Callithrix jacchus: one gene and its partner. The protein of the gene in region 2 purifies or fractionates together with the protein of the main gene of each other region. This does not show direct contact. Links are inferred from orthologs where the notes say so. Each region holds a gene or a part of one and is shown on either strand. Other genes may lie near its edges.

Region 1 (3,810 bases), on a different chromosome or scaffold from region 2:
CAGGTACGAGCCACCATGCCCAGCTAATTTTTGTATTTTCAGTAGAGACTGGGTTTCACCATATTGACCGGGATGGTCTCGATCTCCTGATCTCGTGATCCGCCTGCCTCAGCCTCCCAAAGTGCTGGGATTACAGGCGTGAGCCACAGCACCCAGCCCCTATCTTTTTTTTTTTTTTTTTTTTTTTTTTTTGAGAATTTCACTTTTGTCCCTCAGGCTGGAATGCAATGGTGTGATCTTGGCTCACTGCAAACTCTGCCTCCCAGGTTCAAGTGATTCTCCTGCCTCAGCCTCCCAAGTAGCTGGGATTACAGGTATGTGCCACCATACCCGGCTAATTTTTTATTTTTAACAGAGACAGGGTTTCTCCATGTTTGTCAGGCTGGTGTCGAATTCCCAACCTCAGATGATCTGTATGTCTTGGCCTCCCAAAGTGCTGGGATTTCAGGTGTGAGCTACCACCACGCCCCGCCCCATCAGAGTTTTATATCAATGTGACAGGCTCTGGCGTCACACTGCCTGGGTGAGAATGACAGACCTACCCTGCTCATGAGCTGTGTGGCTTTGGGCAAGTTAATTAACCTCTTTGTGGTAAGGTTAATAAAATAGAATTTTAGTATCTACTGCATAGGTATTTCACAGCACATGAAATGCAAATGATTTGGAACACAGTATGGCAAATGGTAACAGTTCAAAAAGTATTGTTAAAGTTGTGCTCGATTATCTAATAATTTTTTGTAACAAGGTCTTGCTTTGTTGCCCAGGCCAAAGTGCACTGGTATGATCACAGCTCACTGCACCTTGATCTCCTAGGCTCAAGCAATACTTCTGCCACAGCCTTCCAAGTAGCTAAGACTACTAGGCATCCACCACGTCTGACTGATATATTTTTTTCTTTGTAGAGACGGGGTCTTACTATGTTATCCAAACTGTCCTCCAACTCCTGGGCTCAAGCAATGTTCCTGCCTTGGTTTCCCAAGGTGCTGGGATTACAGGTGCGAGCCACTGTGCCTGGCCAAAACTGTGCTTCTGTTGAGCACATGATTTACTTTCAGAACCAAATATATAGTCAATCTCATTTCTTCATCCATAAAATAGTGACTATACCTATGACCTTATACACAATGAGTTGTCATGAAGGTAAGACTTCTTGGCTTCTACTTCAAATGATCAAGTTTCAAATCCCAAGTCCTTACCAATTAATATGTATTGTCTGTTTAGTGCCAGAGCCTAGAATCTAATTCAGCACAAAGATATCTCCCCAAATTGCCATACTAGGTCAGTAGGCAAGACAAGTATAATCTAGTTTTACAGTCAAGGGTAGAAGTAAGAGGTTACTTGACTTTCTGAAGCCACAGAGATATAAGTGAAGCAAAGATTGGACCAAAGCATATGTATACTGAAGGAACTAAATAGCTCATTTCATGCCAAGAATATGTGTAACAGTTTTTATTATCGAAGATTATATACTTCAAAATCAGTGCATTGTTTGGCAATACTAAGATGACACACAAGTACTTTTTGATGGTCAATGCCATTAATGAACTATAATCAGAAAGTTCTCTTTACATTGTTCTTACTGTAATACAATGGCTTTCAATAATCCAATCTTAGTATTGTTTGTACTAAAGATTGCTAGCCTTGGATCACGGGTGATTGGTTGGATCAGTGATCAACTCCATGAAACTAAGAAAAACTGCCCAAGTGGTATAAGCACTTACTGCACATTTACATAATGTAGACTAAACCACACCTATTCTTATTGCCCTAAGTATTAAAATATTTAAAGTAGAATTAAGAGGCCTTTTAGAAAAGTAGTTGAGATTTTTTTTTTTGAGACAGAGTCTCACTCTGTCGCCCAGGCTGGAGTGCAGTGGCACAATCTCAGCTCCCTGCAACCTACACCTGCTGGGTTCAAGCGATTCTCCTGCCTCAGCCTCCTGAGTAGCTGGGATTACAGGCATGTGCCACCACACCTGGCTAATTTTTGTACTTTTAGTAGAGATGAAGTTTCACCATGTTGGTCAGGCTGGTGATCCACCCGCCTTGGCCTCCCAAAGTGTTGGGATTACAGGCTTGAGCCACTGTGCCCAGCCTGAGTTTTTAAAAAACCAAACCATCAGGCGGGCACAGTGGCTCACGCCTATAATCCCAGCACTTTGCGAGGCTGATGGATCACCTGAGGTCAGGAGTTTGCACTGGACGGGGAGGTTGTAGTGAGCCAAGACTGCGCCACTGCACTCCAGCCTGGGCAACAGAGTGAGACTGTCTCAAAATCAATCAATCAAGCCATCAACCTTTTACAAACGGACAGGCTGCTAGGCAATACTGTATACTTACAGCATCTCTTTTCTTCTTTGATTTGCTGTCATCAGATTCACTGTCAGATAAAGATTTTCTTTTTGTACCATCTTTTTCTTTGCCAGCTTTTTGAGAATTAAGAAATGCTTCAATCAACTCTGGACAATCTAAATTTTCTTCAGGTTCCCAAGTATTGTCAGCACTGTTAAAAAAAAAATTCAATTAAACATGATTCATCCCCATTACCCAGATCCATTTTAATAGACACCTGGGGAAATAAAAAGTCCTCTGTACTGCAGATACTAATCATTTCCTCCTTCCCTACATTTTATTTCTCCCGACCCCGGAGACAGGGTCTTGCTTTGTTGCCCAGACTTGAGTGCGGTGATGCGATCAGCTCACTGAAGATTCCCAACTCCTGGGTCAAGCAATCCCCTGCCTCAGCTCCCACTCCCCACTCGCCCAGTAGCTGGGACTACAGGCATGCACCACCATACCCAGCTAACTTAAAACACTTAAAAAAAAAAAAAAGAGAAGGGGTCTCTCGCAGCTGGTCTTAAATTCCTGGTCTCATGTAATCCTCCAGCCCTGGACTCCCAAAGTGCCAGAATTACAGGTGTTAGCCACTGCACCCAGGCCCGACAAGTCTTTTGAGAGAAATCTGCTATTTTACTTCCAAGTGAAGTAAACTTTACTGTAACAGAATAATTCAAACGGCTGAACAAATGTAAATTCCCAATTCCCACCCCAAATTAGTATGTCATATCATGTCTAGGGTTGGGACCTCCAATGCCATGTTTTAAGACATAATGATTCTGAAGCATTAGACATTTTCAATTTTTGCTGGGTGTTCAAATTGGGAAATGGTATAGAGTGGGCTGGTAAACCAAAAGCTAAATCCAGTCTTTTGTATGGTTTGCAAACTAAAAATATTTTTACGTTTTTAAATGGTTGGAAAAATATTTCAAACTAAATTATACGTAATTTGAATTTTAGTGCCCACAAATGAAGTACCATTGGAACACATCCACACTCATCCGTTTAGATGAGCAGAGATGTAGAGACAAGAGACCTGTGGCCCGAAAAGCAGAAAATAATTACTACATGACACTTTAGGGGGAAAGGTTGCTGACCCCTGATACAATGTAAGGCTGAGATGACTATTTCTATGGATTTTTTAGAACTGCTGTAAAAAAGAAAATGAGTATCAATTAATAGACGTGAAAGTAAGATCACCCTACACCAACAACCGGCTTGCCAACTTCGTGCTCTGGTTCAAAAAAACCTTTACAGAACTAGGTGTGATGAAGTTAGTAATTTTAGGGACGCTGGGGTAACTGGATCATGAGGTTAGGGGATTGAGACCAGCATGCTCAACATGGTGAAACCTTGTCTCAACTAAAAAAAAAAACCACAAAAATTAGCTGGGCTGGGGATGGGCGCCTGTAATCACAGCTACTCAGGAGACTGAAGCAGTAGAATTGCTTCAACCTGGGAGGCAGAAGTTGC
Region 2 (3,910 bases):
ATGCCTGGGTCCCAGGGCCTTTCCGGGCCCCGGCCCCAACCCCCACTTGGAGCTGAGGGGAGGACCAGGCTGAGAAGCGGGCTGAGGGATGGCCGTGGTACGAGGGGAGGGGTCCTGACCCCTCGGGCCCACCCTCACCCCCAGGCAGCCTCACCTGACATTCATCTTATGGGTGCGGAAACCGAGGTAGGGGTCTAGGACGAGGCTGGTGGCCAGGTCGTCGTTCTCACACAGTTCTCGTGCTGTCACTCTGTCGGGCCCCATGGTACCCCTCGGACCATGCTGCCTCTGGCAGAGAGCAGGGGCAGGTGAGGGCAAGGCGGGTGTGGGGAGCCTGGCTTGGTGCTGACTCCACTCCTACGCTACTCAGAAGCGGTGGGGGATGCTGGCGAGCCCCAAGACCTCATCTGCAAAATGGGGAGAAAAGCAGTGCTGACTTCGCCAGACTGCTGGCAAAGATGGAACGCAGCAAGTACTTCTGAGAGTGGGGAAACCCAGAGTGATGTCAGTCATCACCTTAGCGTCTCTATCCCCTCTCCTTCTGCAGCGCAGACTACAGCCCCCACGTGCAAACGGCACCAGGCACACCCATGCAATGTGCACAGAGACACCCTCCACACACATATCTCTACCGGCCCAGGAAAGGCTGACTGGCAGCCAGGATCACCCTAAAGGCTTAGCACCGTGGGGAGCGGCTTCACCTCTAGCCCTCAAGGAGGAAAAGTCAAAGCTTCCCGCCAGCCGGAGGTCCCGCCCTCCACCCCCACCGCGGCCCTGCCTCGGTCTCCGCCCCCTGCCTCCCCGGCAGCCTCCGGGAGTGGTCGGGAGGCTCCGGGTGAAACCCCAGGCAGCGTGAGGGGGGTGTGGGGAGGGAGAGCATGGGGAGGGATCCCAGCACCTGCTCCCTCTCCAAGGATTCCAGGGGAGGGGGGCTCAGAGGACAAAAGCAGGGGTGGGGAGGCAGCACAGGTCAGCATGTACAAACAAATTTTTTTAAAGAGCAAGGAAAGAACTGAGAGGAAGAAAACAACCCAAAACCCCAACGCGGACAGACGGCCAGTCGTGTCCCCGCACCAGGTCGCCCAAGGCTCATCTGCGCCCGGGAGAAAATGAGACCGGGCAGGGCAAGGAGCGGGAGCTGCAGAGACGGCGGCAGAGGGGTCGGGAACAGACTGGGAGGCTGCGGGAGAGAAAGAGGGGGCGCTGCAGGAGGGCGCCGGGGACGGCGGGGGAGCTGGAAAGGAGGCTGGGGGCAAAGACAGAGACGCACAGTGGTGGGGACGGCAGGGGACCGCGGGAGGGAGAAGGCTGCAGCCCGGCCTGGGGGTGCCCAGAGGATGTGAGGAAGGGATGGGGGTGCCAGGAAGGACAGAGACAGGGGGAAGGCCTAGAGACCCAGGGAGGAACAAGACGGGGGACGGCAAAGTGCCTGGGCGTCCAGTGAGTGAGGGGCCGGAGAGGGCAGACAGCGACCCCGGGAACCAGACAGGGCTTTGTGGGGTCCTGAGGGACCCCGGAAAGGGAGACCCTAGGGAAGGACCTGGGTAGGCGGTGAAAGCCCAGGGCAAGGGACCTGGAGGGTCAGAGGCCGACCTCAGGGTCCAGAGAGAACGAGGAGAGGGACAGGGGGTCAGCGAGAGGTTCTGGGGCACAGAGAGACCTAGAGTGTGCAGGAGGAGGCCTGGAGGGTGGGGGGAGGTCAGGTATTGGCCCTGGGGGTGCAAGGAGGGCGCAGGGGCGAGAAAGGGGTCAGGAAGGCCCTGGGGGTGCAGGGAGGGCGCAGGGGCGAGAAAGGGGACAGGGAGGCCCTGGGGGTGCGGGGAGGGCTCAGGGGCGAGAAAGGGGACAGGGAGGTCCTGGGGGTGCGAGGAGGGCGCAGGGGTGAGAAAGGGGACAGGGAGGTCCTGGGGGTGCAGGGAGGCCCTGGGGGTGCAGGAAGAGGCCTGGAGGGCGAGGTCAGGGGTGCAGGAGGCGGCCTGAGGGTGCAGGGAGGGCCGTGGACGTGATAAGGGAGTCAGGAAGAGGCCCGGGTGAGAACGCACAGGGAGGAGGCTGCGATGCTGCGGAGCCCGAGGCCTGGCGAGGGGACAGGAGACGTGGGCGCCTGGACACGAGGAGGGGCCGGGCGGGGTGGGGGGCAGTCGGGGCAGGGAGCAACTGGAAGCCAAGGCGGCGCGGGGCTGGGGCCGTCAGGGGGCTCAGAGGTCGGGCCCCGCGCCGCCCCTCACCCGCTTCTCCTCCTCTTCAGGCGCCCGCGCCGCCGCCGCCAACACCTCCCACTGCCTCCTTCAGCTCTAGTCAAACACTGTCGCCGCACCTCCCATCTGATCGCTGGGCCCGCCCCGCCAAGGCCACTGAGGCTTTCTATTGGCTAAAGCCACCGCCACTCCTCCGTTGCTATGAAGCTCACGGTCCTCTCATTGGCCAAGCCCCACTCTTTCCCTCCCCACCAGTCCTTCGTCAGTGCCCGATAAAATCCCGCCACGCCCCCGCTTCCGTCAAACGCCGCGTACTCTTGCGAGTGGCTCACATCGCTGTCCTTCAGCCGCTGCCCTGGAGACTTGTCCCGCCTCCTGCCCCCACTGAAGCCCGAAATGGACGCACTCATTGGCCGAAAGCGCAGTCGCTCCCGGCGAAATTCGGATTGGGTCGGGTTATTCAGGTCCAAGTGGAAAGAGGGCGGGCTCTGCCAGCTCCGGTAGTCGTATGTGATTGGCTGGCATTGGGACAGCCCCTCTTTCCATTAGCTATAGCCTCCGTCCATCAACCATAGAGTCGCGGCCTCCTTATTCTCTTTCTCCTAGGAAAGCTTCTGCCGCAGGAGGGAGAAAGCCAGAGCTGGGCGTGAGGGAGGCGGGGAATGCGCGCGCACCGCCGTCCCTCTCCCCTCCCGCCCCTCGAGGCCTGTGGTTGCCAAGGCGACGAAACTTTATTGACAGCTCTACCTGGCTACAAAGGGCTCCCCAGTCTCTCTCCCTCCCAGACTACTGTCTCTTTCCCTCCCTTCCCGATTACGCCGTTTCGTTTTGGGAGTATCCACAGGAACTCTGTGGGACTTTCCCGCGATATGAACGGGGTCGGATGGAGGGGAGGCTGAGGGAGGAGTGGGGGCTTTAGAGACAAGCGCTGTCTCTGGGGCGCTCCCCTGGGGCACCCCCTAATTGGGATCACCTCTCCACCTCAACCCTGGAGGCAAACGTAACTAACAATTCATCATAATTACGCCAAGAATAATAAGCTCCACACTCAGAACAGGCGGTCTTTGTTTGCTTGTGTGTTTCTTTCGCCACAGCCATCCTTCGCTTAACCACACTGATACCATCCGAGCAGCGTGCTCAGGCGATGTCGTCATCCTGCCAGCATCCTAGAGCCACTCACTCACTCACACCTACGTGGCAGGGCTGCTGACACCTGGGCTGGAAGGTGGCCCGGGGCTCCCGGGCCACACAGCTGTGCAGCATGTTACTGTCCGGTTACACAATGTAGGCGCTTGTGTGTCTACACATAGAAAAGGTACCGTAAAAATTCGGTATTATAATTTTATAGGATCACCGTCACACATGCAGTCCACCGGGTAGCTATAAATCTTGGGGCCTGGCCGGGCACGGTGGCTCATGCCTGTTAATCCCAGCCAGCACTTTGGGAGGCTGAGGCGGGTGGATCACCTGAGGTTGAGAGTTCAAGACCAGCCTGACCAACATGGAGAAACACCGTCTCTACTAAAAAAAAAAAAAAAAAAAATACAAGTTGGGGAGGGATAGCATGGGAAGAAATGCCAGATGTGGGTGAAGGGGAGGAAGGCAGCAAATCACACTGCCACGTGTGTACCTATGCAACTATCTTGCATGTTCTGCACATGTACCCCAAAGCCTAAAATGCAATTTAAAAAAATAATAATAATAAAAATAAA

What was found.
Region 1: the proteins of KMT5C (region 2) and CBX3 purify together in Homo sapiens (affinity purification with western blotting; 3 studies listed by BioGRID and IntAct, with this or other methods). This does not show direct contact. The link is inferred for Callithrix jacchus from reciprocal best matches to the Homo sapiens genes KMT5C and CBX3.

Annotation. Positions count from the first base shown.
Region 1 is NC_133512.1:31,891,414-31,895,223, forward strand, and holds part of CBX3 (chromobox protein homolog 3), read right to left. Parts: intron 2,504-3,810; coding exon 2,341-2,503; intron 1-2,340.
Region 2 is NC_133523.1:48,210,953-48,214,862, reverse strand, and holds the start of KMT5C (histone-lysine N-methyltransferase KMT5C), read right to left. Parts: upstream 2,297-3,910; 5' UTR 2,229-2,296; exon of another isoform or gene 2,043-2,228; intron 1,181-2,042; 5' UTR 1,075-1,180; intron 408-1,074; 5' UTR 265-407; coding exon 155-264; exon of another isoform or gene 1-154. UniProt on the Homo sapiens protein: Histone methyltransferase that specifically methylates monomethylated 'Lys-20' (H4K20me1) and dimethylated 'Lys-20' (H4K20me2) of histone H4 to produce respectively dimethylated 'Lys-20' (H4K20me2) and trimethylated 'Lys-20' (H4K20me3) and thus regulates transcription and maintenance of genome integrity.